3 linked regions of the Coturnix japonica genome follow. The protein of the gene in region 1 interacts with the protein of each later gene in a biochemical or structural test. Links are inferred from orthologs where the notes say so. Each region holds a gene or a part of one and is shown on either strand. Other genes may lie near its edges.

Evidence for each region. The genes of interacting proteins can lie anywhere in the genome.
Region 2: the proteins of RAB5A (region 1) and APPL1 form a complex in vitro, tested with the Homo sapiens proteins (2 studies listed by BioGRID and IntAct, with this or other methods). The link is inferred for Coturnix japonica from reciprocal best matches to the Homo sapiens genes RAB5A and APPL1.
Region 3: the proteins of RAB5A (region 1) and RBSN form a complex in vitro, tested with the Homo sapiens proteins (3 studies listed by BioGRID, with this or other methods). The link is inferred for Coturnix japonica from reciprocal best matches to the Homo sapiens genes RAB5A and RBSN.

The regions. Positions count from the first base shown.
Region 1 is NC_029517.1:32,830,059-32,836,151, forward strand, and holds part of RAB5A (ras-related protein Rab-5A), read left to right. Parts: intron 1-635; coding exon 636-787; intron 788-1,706; coding exon 1,707-1,829; intron 1,830-3,653; coding exon 3,654-3,747; intron 3,748-6,093. UniProt on the Homo sapiens protein: The small GTPases Rab are key regulators of intracellular membrane trafficking, from the formation of transport vesicles to their fusion with membranes.
Region 2 is NC_029527.1:6,339,814-6,345,721, reverse strand, and holds part of APPL1 (DCC-interacting protein 13-alpha), read right to left. Parts: intron 5,166-5,908; coding exon 5,019-5,165; intron 4,762-5,018; coding exon 4,711-4,761; intron 4,358-4,710; coding exon 4,268-4,357; intron 4,223-4,267; exon of another isoform or gene 3,702-4,222; coding exon 3,552-3,701; 3' UTR 1-3,551. UniProt on the Homo sapiens protein: Multifunctional adapter protein that binds to various membrane receptors, nuclear factors and signaling proteins to regulate many processes, such as cell proliferation, immune response, endosomal trafficking and cell metabolism.
Region 3 is NC_029527.1:17,046,771-17,052,863, forward strand, and holds part of RBSN (rabenosyn-5), read left to right. Parts: coding exon 1-24; intron 25-785; coding exon 786-856; intron 857-2,633; coding exon 2,634-2,720; intron 2,721-3,131; coding exon 3,132-3,234; intron 3,235-3,596; coding exon 3,597-3,671; intron 3,672-4,507; coding exon 4,508-5,644; 3' UTR 5,645-6,093. UniProt on the Homo sapiens protein: Rab4/Rab5 effector protein acting in early endocytic membrane fusion and membrane trafficking of recycling endosomes. Required for endosome fusion either homotypically or with clathrin coated vesicles.

The sequences.
Region 1 (6,093 bases):
TAACTCAGGGTAATAACAGATGTAGGTTTTAGATATGCAGATTAACATGTTAAGCTGTAGTGGCAGAAAATACAAGTTGCCCTGAAACTGCAGGTAGTGGAAATCATGCCTTGAAACAATTCTTGAGTTGACTTGCAAGGGAAAAAACACAACTATATGACTGCTTTATGAGCAAGAAAATTTCAGAATTTATTTGTACTTCTGTAATCTTTAACCAAGGTGGGATGTCAGGAGCTGGAAATCTTAGCTATAATATACTGTTCAAATAACGTAGATTTAGTCCAGAATTGTACATGTCAGAGCTATTGGATTGTAGCATGAAGAAATACTGTTTGTTGCATCAAGGTGAGGTGCATCTAGAAGATAAGAGAGAAATCTTGTGGTTGCTGAAATGAACTGTTAGAAAAGAATAATGGGAGTTTTTCCTGAATTTTGTTTCCATGTGTCTTTAATGTGAGGAAAGTTTGCATGTTGAATTCTTCTATGTCAATCAATTACAATCTAAAATCTTCAGACCTTCTGTATTTTAATAATAGGCTTCAGTTGTCAAGGAAATCATGCTTGATTCATCTTTTGTGAACATAATTTGATACGAGCAGACTTCTGGTTTCAACCCTTCTGTCTTTTTTTTTTAGCTGCTTTTCTAACCCAAACTGTGTGTCTTGATGATACAACGGTAAAATTTGAAATATGGGATACAGCTGGGCAAGAGCGGTATCACAGTTTAGCACCTATGTACTACAGAGGAGCACAAGCAGCTATAGTTGTATACGACATTACAAATGAGGTAAGTACAATGGGAGAGGGAGTTATGGGGATTCTTTGTGGTCTCGTATCTGCCATTTTTATATATAACTGTCTCATGTGTATCTGTATCAATTCATCTCTTAATGTTGGGCTGTGTGATATTAATTTGTGCCTGGAATCTTTTCTTACCAAGAGACCCGTTATTGTGTTCTTTATATTAAAAAGTATTCAAACAAACTAGAGAAAGCAAATGCCTTTGCAGAGTTTTTTTCCAAGCCCACATTTATATCAGTTCATCTGAATTGTTACTCACCAGGCTACTGGTGACAAATAATTTCTAGTGGTGAAAGATGTTGCGTTCATATGTTACTGTTGCAAAATAAAAGGCAGGTATTAAAGGCAGCATAATCTACTGATGCTATAACATTGTTTGATTTCATTTTGTTTGAGCTGGCATCAGACAAGCTTTGTATTAAACAAGGTTTAATATAATAAATATAATATAAATAATAATATATAATTATTGAAATAATAATATATAAACAAGGTTTAGGTCAAAATGAAACTTAAAATACGAAACCTCCAAAAAACCCAGCATACCTCAACTGTAACGGTGGTCACTAATTAGAAATGTTGAAAATTGTTGAGTTTATGAATAAACTTGATTCTTCTGGAGGAGAAAATGAATTTCCAATTTTCTCTCAACTGTTTCTCTACTTAGTCTTCATAAATCTTTATATCTTCATTTATTTTCTCGGCATTGTCATGACTAAGAACGTCTGAAAATTAGGGTAGGAATGTATCATATAAAAAAACTCTTGAGTGTATCTTTGGACAAAAGTAGCAGCCTTGCTTTAATTGACATTTTGCTTGAAGTATAGATAACAGAGACTGGGATAATTGGTGAGTGCAAAAGGATGGTAAAGACTCAACTTGCATCATTTTGCAATCATTAACAGGAGTCCTTTGCCAGAGCGAAAAATTGGGTCAAAGAACTTCAGCGTCAAGCAAGTCCTAACATTGTAATAGCTTTAGCAGGAAACAAAACTGATCTAGCTAACAAAAGAGCTGTGGATTTCCAGGTATGTACATAACTTCTGTTTAATAGAAATAGTTTGTTTTTTTGGAGGAGGAGGAGGAGCAGGTAAATAGGCCTACTGAGGAGCTTACATGCATAGACCAGGTGGTTGTCAAGGAGGTCATGCTGTTAAATATAAACCTCAAGTGAGAGTAATTCTAGGTGCTGCTGAAAAATGTTTTTGTACAAATGATATATGGCAATAGACTTGTTTTGAATAAGGAATTAAGTATGAGGAATAACTAATTTATTTGCATATCTTCAAGGCTAATTGAATTCCTGTTCTATGATCTGATCTCTTCCTGTCTTCCACTCAAAATTATCTGTAATTACAGTGTTAGTGGAAGCGATAGAATGATCTGCACTGAATTTGTTCCTAAGCTCTCTGACGTGTCCAGAGGGAAATTTTGAGAATCTTATGATACAAAGTTGATTGATAGACTTAGCTTGCCTAGGGTATACTGTTGAAGCAGTGTTCAGCTTTTAATTCTCCTTTTCATGGCATTATTTTTGTTTATGTTGATACACATGTGCTCTTCGGTTACATTTGTCTTCTTGAAAACACTGATTAAACTTAGTTATCAGAAAATGACTTCCAAAACAAATGAAATTCACTACAGATGTTCTCATCCATGCAGCACTGATTGATCTTAAGAAAACTGATTCATATAGGTATTTATTCATTAGTAATTAATTATGTTTCTGTTTTCATCTATGTCATTGTGTTAGTTACTGCTGTGTATGGTAATGAATCCTTTTATAACTTTAGAAGTCAGTCTGTGAAGATTAGGAGCTTTAGGTACTTTTCAACCTAAATTCAACATTGTCAAAAAATTTTATTCTTTCATGTCAGTTGCAACATAAAAACTACCACAGAAAAAGCAGGCATTCTGTGGAAAACTTGTGGTTTGTGACAGATCCTGTGTATCTGTATAGATAAAAAACTTAATCAAATTTTAAATATCTACACTTTTTTTTTTTTCCGTTAGTTTTGTTTCTTACAGTTATGTACTCAGCATTTTTTTGTTGTTATCTTCTCTTTTTTGCAAACAACTATCAAACCTATTTGAGATTAAGTACTGATTAATGTGTTATTTCTGTTGTGGTTACATAGGTTTTAGCACATGTTACTTAAATGAATATTGAGCTAGACTGCAGTTTTTCTTTGTTTCATCATAGGTATAGTTTGGCTTTATGCAGATTTCTGTTGGATTCAAAGACAGTTTCATAATCTGAAGATACCAGGGATTTGTAGCTGAACTGGCTAACAGGAGGTGGCAAAAATAGGGAACAGAAGTATTTCAGATGTGTATTTCAGATAGAAATTCACACTGGTAAAGGAGATCATATGACAAGACATTAGATTTTCCTAATTAGTTTTATTATCCTGACAAAAATCCTCTATTCTAAAACTTCTGATCAATCTGCCTTAGTGGATGAAAGATTGAGTAAGGATGAAAGGTAGTTCTTCATAGAAGTGATAATGGAGCTTTTTGGCATTTGAAGGCACTTTCTGTTGCTTATTCTTGCTATTACAGCTAGAGTCTTGTGGTAGGATTGTCCTTCTAATATTTACTATTTAGTTTTGTATTAGGTTTGATCTGGAATATTACTTTAAGACAAATAAGGGTTTCAGGATTGCATTTCTTTTACCTGATGGAGTTACAACTTCCCCATAGCTAACGAGTAACACACAGTCATGAGTGTTTCAGCAAACCTTTTTTGAAAATGGAGTAGAAATTCTTCATTAGTAGTAGTAAGAGTATGGTTTGTAATAAAGTGATGCTTTGACTTTTTAAGAATGGACTAATGCAGTATTTTCTTTCAGGAAGCACAAGCTTATGCAGATGACAACAGCTTGTTGTTCATGGAGACGTCGGCCAAGACAGCTATGAATGTGAATGAAATCTTCATGGCAATTGGTGAGTTGATGAGGGGAGATGGGGGGGAGTTAGAAAATCGAATGTAATTGTTTTCTTGAGATTCATGTAATCAGAAGCATCCTAACTAACTAACAAGCTCTTCCAGATTTTCCCATAAATCTTTTTTCTTTCTGTGGCACTGATGTTTCCTTAGGCCCCTTAGACTCTTCTATGATGTTGTGATAAACTTATTTGAAGCATATTTGCACAGGCCTTCTGTCAAGCATTTAAAGCTTGGATTAATTTGTAGTAGCTGAATGAGCTTAGATTAATTAAAATTCTGTCAGCAAGTTTCATGTAACTGCCTTTTTGTTGTGGTCAGTGATACTACTTCAGGTTGAAGCAAAATTAAGCTGTAGTTGCTGTTCTGTATTTAAAAACAAATCAAAAGAAAACCTTCCCATGGCATAGCTTACCATTAAAAGTTTTGCATAGTTTTACATTACTTCAACAAGTCCAAAATATATTTTATGGTTATCACGTTAATATAGAATATAAATAAAAATGTATAAATTAGTGTCTCTTCACATTATGCTTTTTGCAACAGATCTCATACTGCCTTGAGTAGGTACAAAAGTCATAATATTGTACTTATAATACAATTATAATTGAAGCTGGAAACATCAAAATAGGAGATGACAGTGACTTGCTTTAAAGATATCAGGAGTATTCATTTTAGACTAATCAGCGTATTTGCTAAATACTGTTTTATAATTAAAAACTCTTTGAATTCCAAGTGCAGCAATGTAAGATGCAAAGGGTATGCCAAGAATGAGTATGTGTGTGTTTAAATTCAAAGTCTGAGTACAGGTGAAGGGTACTTTGTGTGAAAAGTGAATTTACTAATGGATTTTTAGAGCTGACACTCCTTAGGAATTTCTTTAAAGTTGACTACACATAAAGAAAGTTGAAACTGCTAACAGTCTTGTTAGTTATCTTTCCTTGATGGATTTAACATATCTCATTATTAAAAAGAAAAAAAGGAGAAAGAAAGTGGGCTCTTCTAGGTGGGTTACTTGCCCTATTTAATAACCTTAATTAGAGTAGTCACACTGTTACTAGGAGGAAACAGTATAGTGTCAAATATCTGTATTAATCTGTTTCTTGTGTTGCACTATGATGACCTCTTTTGCTTTCAAAATAAATTCTTTTTAAAGAGCCCTTACCTTTTTCTTTGCAAACCAGTTAAGTAGAAGGTAACCTAATGCAGTTCAGACTTCCAGCAAATGCATATTAAATTATGGCTATAGCAACATTTTACAGCAAATACTCTCCTTATATTAACTGTAATCATGCGGGTTAGGGGGGTTACAGAATTCTAAGTAGAAAATGTATTTTTGTCATAAATGCTGGAGGTAGCACTGCATTTAACGATACAGAAATGCTCAGTTATAATCCTCTTTGCGTGACTGCTGTGCAGCTTCAAAAATATTTCTTTTAATGTCATGATGCAAACTGCATCTTTAAAAGTTATGTGCAAAATGAGTCTTGAAACTCTGTTGGGATTTTGGTAAATTATTACATAAAGAGAAATTCTTACCTGTCCCTACTTTTAATGAAGTATACGCAATAAACATGACAAAAAGTATGTACTTAGTACCTGGATATTTAGTCTGCAAGGTTCTTAGTCTGTGTGAGTTATTCTTTGGGTGAAATGGGTGACATTCAAACTTAGCATTGCATCAGAACAAGATCTGTGCAGCACTGAGCTTAGAATAGCCTTTTGCACAACATGGGTTCATTTCTGTGGAACCATATGTAAGTGTGATCTTCCAAAAATGTGAGAATAGTCAAAAATGAGAACATGGAAAAGAGTGGATGCAAGCTACAACTGCTTGTGAATTAACTGCCTTAGAGCTTGTTCAAGGCTTCTGGTTACTGGAAAAACAATAAATAAATAAAAAAAAAATATTCATTTCCGATATCAGTAATCTCAAGCAACAGTGCTTTGAAGATGGTTTGCTGACTCTGTGTCTCTTCATGCCGTCTTTGCAGCATAATGTCATGAGAACTCTTGGGTTCTGTTAACCGAGTTAATTATTTTCACGTGCTAATTTTCTTATTGCTTCCTGTAACAGCAATAAGTAGTTCTTGAAAACACTGGCCGACATAGTTCTGGAGTCAAAGTGTACAGCCAGAAAGTAGAACAGGAGTGTTGGTGGGTCCTGATAATACGAACAAGACAGTCCCGTGGAAGTCCTCTGAAGTAGAGCTTACCTTTCTCTCTATCAGAAAATTACTCAAAGGAGTTGCTACTGAGAAAGGCAGTGCTTGTCACCTGTGTTTTCCTTGTCTGATTGAGAGTTATCCTTGAGCTACAAGGGTGACAGAAATTAGCGCAGTAAA
Region 2 (5,908 bases), on another chromosome or scaffold:
AATTCTGCAAAAAAGAGCAAAGGAAAGAAAGAAATAAAGCAGTTCTTGCTGTCAGACCGAGTGTCTCAACTGAACTCACTAAGCAGAGTCAGGAGTGTGTCAGTTCTGGACATAACAAGAGACTGCATAACAACACAGCTTTCTCCACTGGCTTCTCCTAAATTCTGTGCGCCTTCTTTAATTCATCAGGCTTCACCTTCAACATATGACCAGCCAATATTTTTCAGCAATGGAAATAAATTATATCTTTATAAAAAGGCTCAGCTGCATGAGGTTTTTCAGCTGTGGTTTCACATCCATATTAAGATGTCACTTGTCTGCATGTTTCTTAACTCTTAAATATTACTTGTCTGTTAAAGTTGTCTTGATATAATTTCCAACTTAAAAATATTAAGGAAATAACAGACCATCAAATCCATGTTTGCTTACACAACACATGTTACCAGGTCTGTGTAAGCTGCATATGACTATTAACTTGTCCTCTGGTTTAGACTTCTACAAATCTATCCATAAATAAGTACTTGGTATTAGTTATAAAGCAATGAAATGCATGCCTGTAGTTTGCCCACGCTTTTTATATATTTTGATATTCACTCTGCTACATTCATAGACAATGTATGTAGAGCAGAACAATGAAGAGCAAGACCTGCATGGCCTACACAGTGTAATAAACTTAATATCCCATTACCCACATAGTTTCTGAAATAATACTGTGTTCACATGAAGCAAATTACAGCTTCAGCTCAGATCAGTCCTTAAGTAAAAGGCAACAGGAAATATTAAACAGGCAAAATAAATCATAAGAAAGGAAACCAACCAGTAATTTATTTAAAACAGGTGGTGAAACCCTACCACAGTCATTGCCAGGAGAACGTGAGGCGTTTATATTAAAAGCTGTACTCTCAAAGTAAATACTAAGTAATTTTTTTAATTAAGAAACATGTTTCCTGATGAAGCAGCTCTACAATTCATAGATCAAAGGATACCAAAAAGATTTTCTGAGGGAAGGAGGACATGGATAAAACCTCAGCAGCTATTCCTTGCCTTATGGTAGTTCTATCCATAGATCCAGGTGCTCCTCCCTTTAAGTGGCACTGAGTAATTCTCATCCCACTGCTAATTCACTGCACTGTTCCATTTTACCATCCTGATCTCCCACAACTTGCCCTTTGCTCCTGCAGCTTTCATCACCTTCCCAGAAGCTTTTCTATCTATCTGCCTCTTTGCTCATTTTAAACCAGCAAGACTCGCCTAAACAAGCAAAACAAAACCTCCTCATTTCATTCATGCATGGCACTTTAAGTTTAAAGTGCTGCTTTCCTCATTCATTTCCCTTCTTTTCAGGGGTTGGGAGAAAAGAATCATTCACTGCAAGTGAAATGCAATTCAATCCTATGCTGTCTGATTAAGAAAACTACATTTAATGGCATAGATGGTAAAACGTGAGCTACAACTGGAGTAATTCCAGTCAGATATTGTTTAATCTGAAAAATTCCATAAGAGCACTGTAGTGCCTCAGATTTTTCTCTTCATTTCCTTCTCATAGTTCTGTGTTTATGTCTAAAACATAATGGGCAGGTTCAAAAAAAGATAACTCGGCTCTCTGCCCTCTCTCCAATAAGGCACCCTGTCAGCAATACCTTTGGATGAGGTTGCTGTCTGTTAGCTGTCCTCCTCTTGGTGCTGTGCCCACTGCAGCTCATCTCACTCTGACAGACGTGGTATAGGTGACCAGATTCTTGGAACTGAGGACCACCGATTTAATATTTTCTTTGCTGTTGCTGAATTAATTTATCTTTGTGTGTACTTGAGGAGGACACAGTAAGTTTGGAGGTTAAAGGTTGGACTGGATGATATTAGTCATCTTTTCAACCTCACTGATTTTATAAATCTGGGCTGTGCTGGCGTGTTGTTTCATAGAAAGTAGAAATCATTACATTAAAAAAAATATCCAAGAGAAGGAAACATAAACTGAAGCAACTTGTAGAGATAAACTGGCTGCCACGCAACTGGATATAGGCAGGAAAAGGAAAGAAAAGCATTTGCTGCCTTTCTGTACGTTTCTGTTGAAAAGAATGAAAGTAGCCTCTTACAGATGAGGTTACAAGACCAGACAGGAAGTAAATGCCACTTAAGTTTTTGTTTTTTGTTGTTTGTTTTTAAAGCCTTAGATGTGTATGGTCCATGTGACACTACAAGGCAACATCTGGTCGCAGGCTGATGCCACATGGCCTGACTGGATAACAGCAAAAGCAGGTACTTCTGCAAGCTACTGGCTGCTCTGAGGATGAACGGGCTGAAACAGAAGGAAGAGAACCTGGAGCCTCTCTCTTGCTCAGTCTCCCACTCCACCTCCTCTTTCAAATACTGTGAGCACTTCCACAGGTGTTAGATCCCTTCTTTATGCTGTGGTGTCAGTGGCACCGTGAGAGCAATGCTCCCTTTTCTCTCCTGTGACAGGAGGCAGATGCAGTTGGTTGCTGCATAGAAATGCCTATCTATCTCCAGCATAAAAAGCAGAAGGAGGTTGCCTTTGTTAGCCTACGCAAAACAACTTCTATGCAATTAAGGACAGTGTTCCTTTTATGCATCTACAGCCATCTAGCACAGAGGTCCTGAAATCCCTCACTTAACCAGCACCATGCAATTCTAGCTATGAAGGGCTGGGCTGAAAGCCAAAGACTAGAAATGTTCTGCAATGAACTGTAAAACACTCTTAACCGTTATAAAACATCTTAGAATATACTCTTCTCTTTCTACATTTTCTGTTATGCTCAGGCCACTATTAGAGAGACATCTGTTCCATTGGAGTTTAGTATTTATAGTAATTAGTGCAAAAATAAATATTTCTTCTTACTTCAAACACGTTTTCTCATCTGGATCAAAAGATGAATGCACATTTAGTATTATACAAAATAAATATTACACAGGGTATGGGCCATGGAGTTCAGGCTTATGAGGTATAAACAGAGACTGCTTTGAAAAATGCATTAGGAGACTGACTATAGGATGCAGAATAGCGCAGTCTTTTATTTCTATCTCCTGTTCAAGGAAACCTTCTGCATTTGAATCCCCCTCACCCCCCAAAAAAAAGACGGTACCACACAGTGCAGATTTTGTTTCATACTGTCTTATCTGGACACTCCCTTTTGTTTCCAGCAAGGTGTTCTACACGCTGCAGTGTAATGAACAAATTGCAGTACTACTCAAGTTCAGTGAGAACTTACGTTTCGTTTCCAAAGCAGTCAATTGCACAGATGGGCAAATGGAAAAAAGAAAAATCCATCTTTTTCCCTTCCTGCAGAGAATTCTTTGAGAAAACCTAATTTTGAGAAAAAGAATGGTGATGCTACCATGTCTATGTGGCATACAAAAGAGAACTGAAACTGACATGAAAGTGGTAATCGCTTAATTGAGAAAGAAACAGCAAGGCATATTAGGGTCTAGACATTGTGAAGTCTTTATATAATACAACAGACCCTCCACCTAGATTTCGCTTCTTGTAGACCTTACTTAGATCCATGATTCCAATTTTAATGAACTAGGCAACCTTAGGTTTCAGATTCCCTTTTCTTCTTTCCATCCTCTCCTAAATCGCTGTCTTCTGACTGGCTGCTGCTGAGGACGACAAACTGTCCTTCTCCACTGCTTGGGTTTGATCTGTTGGAGGCAGCTATCAGTCGGCTTTGCTCCTCTAAGTCCTGATTAGAGAAAGGAGGGAGGAAAGGGAAGGAAATCAGAAAAATAATGCTCAAGTTAAAGCTCCATAAGGTAGAAACAGAATACTACTAATAAGATTTGGACATTTGGGTTTCAAAAGCTGACATCAGTAGGAGAGTTTACATGTTTAACGCCTCTATTAGTGGTAATCCATACAATACAGCAGGTCAGAACTAACAGCTTGGCCTACAGCCTGCTCCCTGCAGGCTCCAATCTCCAATTGAATTGCGTCAGTGCCTGGCTGATGTTTTCTTGCAGCCATGTATGGGACAGTCTGCGATAGGTGTTCCTTCAAGCACTGCTCTTAAATACCCCCTATGAAGAAGTTTTGTTGTTTATCTCCTCAGAAAAGCTCTTTTGAAGAACTAAAATACAAAATTATACAGGACTTGCACAGAAAATACTTCAATAACTTGGTTTCACAATACTCTGTTTGTTTGTTCTAAAGAATGTGATATTGCAGCTGGAACTACAAAGCTACAAAACAAAGTGACTAAATAGGAAAAAAATCAAAACAAAAAATAGTATTAAAAATAACAGAGCATACCTTTTCAATTTGTTTTTGTTTAGTCAGTTCTTTTTGTTGTTTCTCTTTGACTCTCTCCATTTCTTTTTGCTTTTCTGATGCTTTTCGATCCTGAAGGGCAAAAATAACAGTAAAAGAAACAACTGCCCAGTGGGCTTGGTGTGCTGTGGGCTTATCTGAGTTTGTTCAAAACTTCTGGGACACCTGATTTATGCTTCTTTTAATGGACAGGTATGTTTGTTAAAGGTACAGAGTGGATTCCAATCTTGAGCATTGTGCCAGGGTAGATACTGGTGAAGATCTTTTTATCTTGGATTCAAATTCTATAAAACAAATCCTTTTGAGTTCTCCACAACAGCATTACTGCATCTATAAGCATCCTGCAGAATACAGAATATTACAGACTCTAAATATGCCTTCTCCCTTCCATTCACAAGGATACTGTGCCCTAAACAGATTCTTACCAGTTCTGCATGGAAAGCAATCTGTTTTGCCAGTCCAACGGAGTCACAAATCTAAATAGAAATCAAATTTGAAATCGTCTGTAAGAATCTAACAAATGCCTTTAAAAGCATGCCACGTTCCCACATCAGGTACGATAGTGTGCTAAAGCATTTTACAGTTACTTCAGCTATTGGATTAACTTGTTTTCAGTACATAAACTCTCCCATACAAATCCCATAGACAGCCTGAATGGAACTAACACCTTAGAATCCATGTCAGAAAACGACTGGAATCAGAAAATGGATACAAATATAACCATCACCAATACCTTTTCCCCTTCATTATTTGATTCAAAGATATAGCAGATGGAAGTTTGTCGACTGTCAGCTCTCCCTCCTGAAGTTCTAAGCACAAATCCAAAGAGGCGCTTATTCTCCTGATGTGTAGCATACAAGACTACACAGGGCAAAGGAAACTGCCAGAAAGGATCAAATACAGAGAGATTAAAAGTGGTTTCAGACATTCTGTATAGATTTCCACTGTTTGCTTCAATAAAAATGCTTTGTAATCTCAGTTCCCAAAAGAAGGTGGACCAGAAATAATTCTGAAGGCCTCTCCTGCAATTGGAACAAACCAACAGCATGAGAGTTCTTCCTCACCACAGAGGAGCACACGTAGAACACTGCATGTGCACCTGTAAAAGCTCACAGCTTTGGGGCGGTTCTGAACTTAATGCCACAAAGAAGGAAAAGGAAAACACACATGGCGTGATATGAGGAATACTTTGCATGTTCAGTATTTCCTTTTATAGAAATGATGATACCTTTGGGTCCCTGAGAAATAAAGCATCATTATAAGAAGACCCAAATGAAGGAAATGATTATAAACGGTGCAGAGACAAAGGCAGGGGAGGCACAGCTTTGAAATACAGAAAATAAAGACTGCTTTTATTGAAGAATTAAGTTGGCCATATTTGATTCCACATGAAAACCCCACCTGGTTTTGTCGTGCACAACGCTGTCAATGTAATGATGGGAAAACCAAAAACCCAAAACAAACCAAGCAAACAAAAGGCAACAAAAACGTTTTGGACTTCTGAATTCGTTCTAATCTTAATTCTATTCCTCCACCAATTACATCAAGCAGATTGTTACAATAAAATACTGTCATTTTCCTCAAATTTTACCCTATGAAATCAGGGAGGAAAGAAGTGTTTTA
Region 3 (6,093 bases), on another chromosome or scaffold:
CCAGAGATTGTGAAACTCTATGAGGTAAATCAAGCAAGGAAGTTGTTCTCATGTCCAAGTTCTTTATGGCTTAATATTCTAATAAAAAGATAAATACGAAAGATAAATACAAAGATGAATCTGAAAGTAAACATTCAGAGGCCTTATGTTATTTACATCCCATGGTAGCTTAAGACCTTATTTTAATGTACAGTTTTGTTCTCATCTGGAACTAGTGATTTTGAAATGTCCCTTAAAAATTGTGCGTAATGTCAGCTGGGATTTGTCAGAACAGTTCTTTTTAAACCAGTGATGTGCTTGTGCTAATGGTGGGCTCTGCTAGAACTATAGAACTAAGTTGTAAGAACTGTTTGTTCCCTCACTGGTGGCAGCCATCTAAATTGAACAACAGTGTGTGGCCAGAATTCTTTGTTCAAATATGCTTTAATAGCATGTACTGATATTCGTTGGGTATCTTCCTGATAAGGAATTCCCTCTCCCAGCCCCAACTTTAATAATAATGGGGATTTCTGTTGATGCTTTTCTGTGAAGAGAGTATGACTAGAAGTTGCCCATCGAAATAGTTTCTGAACTCAAAGTTTACCTTGCAGGGGTGTAGAGATTCTTTCTCTGTTGTTGATCTGTGTTCTCAGGACAGCTGGGGGACCTTGTGATCCTGAGCAGTTCGATGGCTTTCATAGCTATTAGCTTTGAATGTGCACAGTCACATTGAAAGGTTTATGTCAGTAGGTGCTTCTACTAATGTTCTAATACAAGTTCTGCTTTTATGTGCATTGTTAATTAAGAAACTCCGACTCTGCATGGAGAAGGTTGACCAGAAGGCACCTGAATATGTAAGAATGGCAGAATCTCTGAAGTAAGTTTCACTTACTGATTTTGTTCATGAATGTATGTATATTTCTTCCCCTGTAAGTCTGCAAAGTAGGTAAAGAATTGGTGCGGTAAGGCTATGGGTGTTGGTGGGTCATGGAAAAAGTGTTAGGCTTTTCTTTATTTTAATCTAGATAAATAACTATCCAGAGCTCACAGAATTACAGAATTATCAGGGTTGGAAAAGACCTAGAAGATCATCTATTCAACCATTACCAATACTTCCTGGCTAAATCATATTCCTCAACACCACATCCAAAAAGCTCAAGTTAATTCACAAACTAGATTACAAGTCTTAAATCTGATGAGTGTCATCCCTGGGATAACTTACCTTATGATTTAGTATTAACCACAACATTTTGGTGCATGAATTGGATGCCTGAATTAATATTTCTTGCCAAAATCTGTTTTTAAAAAGTTCTAGGATTATACTTTTATTTTTAGAATTAAAGAAATTTTAGTTTTACCAGTTGTAAGCAGCTTTTGATTTGTGTGCTCAGAATTTTATATTACAGACCTGTATTACTTAATGTAATTATATATAAGCCTTAATGTAGATGTTGCAATGACCTGCTGAAAGACTTGTCATATGGGGTAAATGGGATCTAGGCCTGCACTGTGTGTTCAGTATATGAAACGCTGTGGAGTAGTGAAGGCTGGAAGGAACAGCAGTACGTTACTTGGCTATTGAAAAAAATAGTTACATCTGGCATTTGCGGTACTGCTGAAATCAATAAATTTTGAGGAATTCCCAAAGGCAAAGAAGGAGGCTGTACAGCACACAGATCTGAAGGAATTGCCCCAAGGGAGATGTCAATTAGGCTACTGTGAGTTTTTATTTGAATTTTTACTACTTTAAATACGTTTTTCATAATATCTTGAAAACTTCAGAGTAAGTACAAATGTATATATTGGTGGTTGCTGTGCTGACTCACTTTCATTCCTCCCCATCTTGCAGTGTTTGATCTCCTTGTGAACTGTAACAGCATTTCTTTGCAGCCTTACAAAAAAATGCAAGTGGTTTTATTTTCCCTACTTCCTGAATTTTTCTCTTGAGATAATAGAGAGGTTCCTTCCTTTATTCAGATTTCACTTAGTCTAACTGCATAACTGTGTCACTGTTTTGATTCTTATAGAGGCACGTAATCAAATACTAACATGTGATTGGTGACTGGGCAGGCCTATAGAGGATCTTACAGGTTCTGTAGCTTTGGAGATGCTTTTGTGTATTTCAGGTACAAGAGGAAGGGCAAGCTTAAAAATGGTGAAGAAGCTTCCATATAAAATACTAATTTGTTTTCTTCAATAAATATGCGAATCTAGTCATCGTGTCTCCACATGGACTTAGTTGCTAGAATCTTAAACATTATGCCCACATGGGCTTGTAGACTTCTGCTTTACGACAGACATAAGTACACAACTTGTTTTAATGGCATAGTTGCTTATTTGATCAGTGAGGAGTTTTCTGGAAAAAATGCAGAATAGATGCATTGGTTGTGTATATTTTAAGTATTACTGATAGTGGGATTCTTCTTATACTAAAATTAATTTTTCCTGTAATTGTAAATATTCATGTTTACAGGTTGATATTTTCCACTTCTGTCAGCAAGAAATGGTTTCTGTATACAGTGATCTTGAAATAAAAGCATTCTAATAGATGATTTATCCTTACATTTGTTGACATCTTCTTGGGATAGCTTTTAGTGCTGTATGTATCATTCACTGGAAGTATGACTTACGATAAAGTTGTCTTTATTTTGTAGTGCTGGGGAGACAACCTACAGTCTTGAACGTGCTAATGACTTGAGGGTGGAGATTCAAAAAGCGTACGAATTTATAGATGCCCTCAGGTAAAGGAAGTGTGTGTGCTCTCTCTTGCTATATGCATAAACTGCATTATGTTTTTCCCTTCTTCCATTACAGCTTGTACTAACTCAACCTTATCCACAACTGTTGGGGCCTATGTTTATTCACACAGTCAACTTGCCTACTCCATTGTAAAGAGAACGTTGAAAAATAGATGCTGTTCCTGTGCACCATCAATCTCTATTTCCTTTTCTAACCATGCACAGAGGAAACAAGTAGAGGCATAGGTTTTTTTGTTTTTTTTTTTAATGAAGCATTACTGCTTGTAATATTTAGAGTGGCTTACCTAAAAGAACACATGAGAACGTTCATTTCGTATTGTCTTCTTCTCTTCCTGTTGTATTTTCCTTGGCCCCTGTGGTTGAATGGATGAGCTTATGTTTACTTTTATTCAGTAAGAAGATTGTGAGTCTAGGCTTGAACGAAGAGCCCCAGCCTCATCCTAAAACACTGCAGCTTCAGAGAATGATAAGATACTCAGCTACTCTTTTTGTTCAGGTAAATAGAGCATATAATTATGAGCTAAATTTTCTGTGGTGTTCTGTTCTTTGTTGCCCATATGTCTGGCTTAAAACTTCTTTTGACAGAACGTTTACATCTATAGATGTTCTGAAGTCACTGAATGTGGATAGCACAGTCAGAGCAGCATCTGTAAGTCTTGGCTTTGTCTGTGGCAGAGGCCCACCCTACCCGGCAGTATAGTTACAGCAGCCATGATGTGTTCCAATGTGGAGCAGTGTCTGCAGTGGAGGAATACCTGCTATTTGTCTGTGGAGCATTTGTTGTTGTTTCCTTTGAGTACTTGAAAACTTGTCTGAATGCCTGCAAGCATTCACTGTAATTATTTCAATATTTGGCAGGAAAAACTGTTTGGCCTCATGTCCCTGCCAACCAAAAGTCAGTATGAAGAACTGAAGAAGAGAAGACTGCATATGGTAAGACTGGTTCAGGTCTGTATTTGCATGAGGGCCTGCTTCAGGGACTTAAACAGACACACAATTATTTACTATTCATAGTTCATCTGGATGTGTTAGTAGCTACCTGTGTATGAACAGCTGTCCTTAAGACTGGAGTTCTTGATTCTTTTTTCATTTTCGCTGCAGATCATCCCATGCCTGTGTTCAGGGACTTGTGTAACACTCATTGTAGTTCTTCCCAGAACAGAGAGATGTGTACTGAAAGCTGGATGCATCCAGAAAGCAGCAGTGGCTTGTTTGTGGGTGCTTCTGTGCCTGTTAAACTAAGTCATTTGTACAAGTAGAATTTGAAGACTTCTCCAGGTGGTTTAAAAAAAGATAAAATAAATGGAGACATGGATGCAGCTTCAGGAGAGGGTTTTCTTGGGAGGCGGGACATCACCAACACAGAAATAAACCAGCTTCATGTTGAAGTAGAAATTAAGAAATATAAATAATTGCATTCCAAAGGCTAATAATATAATTGATATTTACTCTGATGCCCTGTTATAGAAATATCTGCTGTAGGTGGATGTAATATGGTTGCTGCCCAATCTGCTTGAGCCATCTCTTTGGACAGCTGGATTTAGGTATCTTTTGCTCTCAAGTTTGTACAGGCAGACGTGAATAGATTTCATTAAGTGTCTTCATAAATAATAGGTAGTATTACAAAAATGAACAGTTTTTTCAGAGAAACTAAAGACTGAGTTGATGTTTGTGACAGCAGTATCTAAGGTAGACAACTATTTTCTGTGAATACAAAAGTTAAAAATGGAATTTTTCAAGCTCACGTTCTCCATATATTTTTGTTTTAGGCAGCTCTTGAAACACACAGAAAACAAGAGGAGAAGCAGAAAGACTTGACATGCAGATCTGCAGGTGCAGTTAATGGTGATGCAACTCTCCTTAAAAAAGGAGCAGTCAGGAAATCTGAAGGCTGGCTGCCTACATCGAGCATATCTCGACAGAGTGAGGTGGCAGACCCACTTCTTCAGCAGATTGACAACATCACATCCTTCATTGAGCAAGCAAAGGCAGCTAATAGGCTGGATGAGGTCCGTATGTTGCAAGAAAACCTGAGGCAACTTCAGGATGAATATGATCAACAGCAAACTCTGAAAGCCATTGAGCTTTCTAAAAAACAGGCAGAAGAGGAAGAGAAGCAGAGGGAAGAACTTCAGTTCCTTTGTGAAAAAGAGTGGGAAAGAGAACACCACAAATCCATGTCTCAGCATTCAATGACAGGCTCCTTAGATTTCAGAGAAGGCAAGCAGCATCAGTATGAAGCTGCAAAAGAGAATCAGAACTTGTTAGCACATAGATTGGATTTAGATATTACTCAAGTGAAAGGGAACCGAAGTTCTGAAACTACTGCTGTTCAGCAGATTCCAGCCAAAGAGTACGTAATCGTCCCAGTTAGACACCAGAATACTCCACAGTGTGGCAAAGACCAAAATCAGGCAACCTGTCTAAACCCCTTTGAAGATGAAGCAGATACCCCTCTGTCAGAGGAAGATCCCACTAACCCATTTGCTGAAGATGTGTCTCAACCGGTTTCTTTCTCTAACACAGCTCTGCAAAGTGACAGAAAAGAATATAACCCATTTGAAAATGGGGAGGAAGGTGAACAGACCAGTGGAGCATCTGTCAGTACTTCAAATCCCTTTGAAGAGGATGAAAATCCATTTCAGAAGTCTGGGAACAATTGGAATTCTGGAAATCCATTTGAAGAAGGATCTTCTACCAATCCCTTTGAGGTGGAAGATGTAACTGAGATCTTAAGAGAGGAGGCTATAGACGAGGAACTGCTTCTCCAACAGATAGATAATATCAAAGCCTACATATTTGATGCCAAGCATAGCGGACGAATGGATGAGGTGGAACTACTGACGGAGAACTTAAAGGAACTGAAGTACACTTTAGCAAAACAAAAGGAGAAATCCAACTGTTGAAGCAGCAATCACACCTTGTAAGAGTTACCTCAAGTCCGCTGCTAAGAGATGGGAAGATGGAGCAGTTATAAACAGCAGTACAGATTACAAGAAGGAATTGGGAGAATGTTATATTTTATATGCTTTCATTTATATATTCCCAACACTACTCAGCCTTGAAGAAAGAAGAGGAACGCTGCTAGTCTTGAACACTTATACTAAAAAAACTTATCATAAGTTGTTACAACCATCTTAATGCTAATTCGTCTTACTGTGTGTTTAATTTGGTCAAAAGGCTTAAGCAGTAATAGGGAACTGTCACTTTGTTTTATGGTTGGTTTGTCATCTTTCCTCCTTGTTTGCACTGTGTTGTTACAGCAGCTGAGCTACTGGCTTTTCAAATGGAGCTTTGACCGAAAAGACAAAAGTGTTTCTAAAATTTCTGCATCTTCTGCTAATGGCACAGTGTC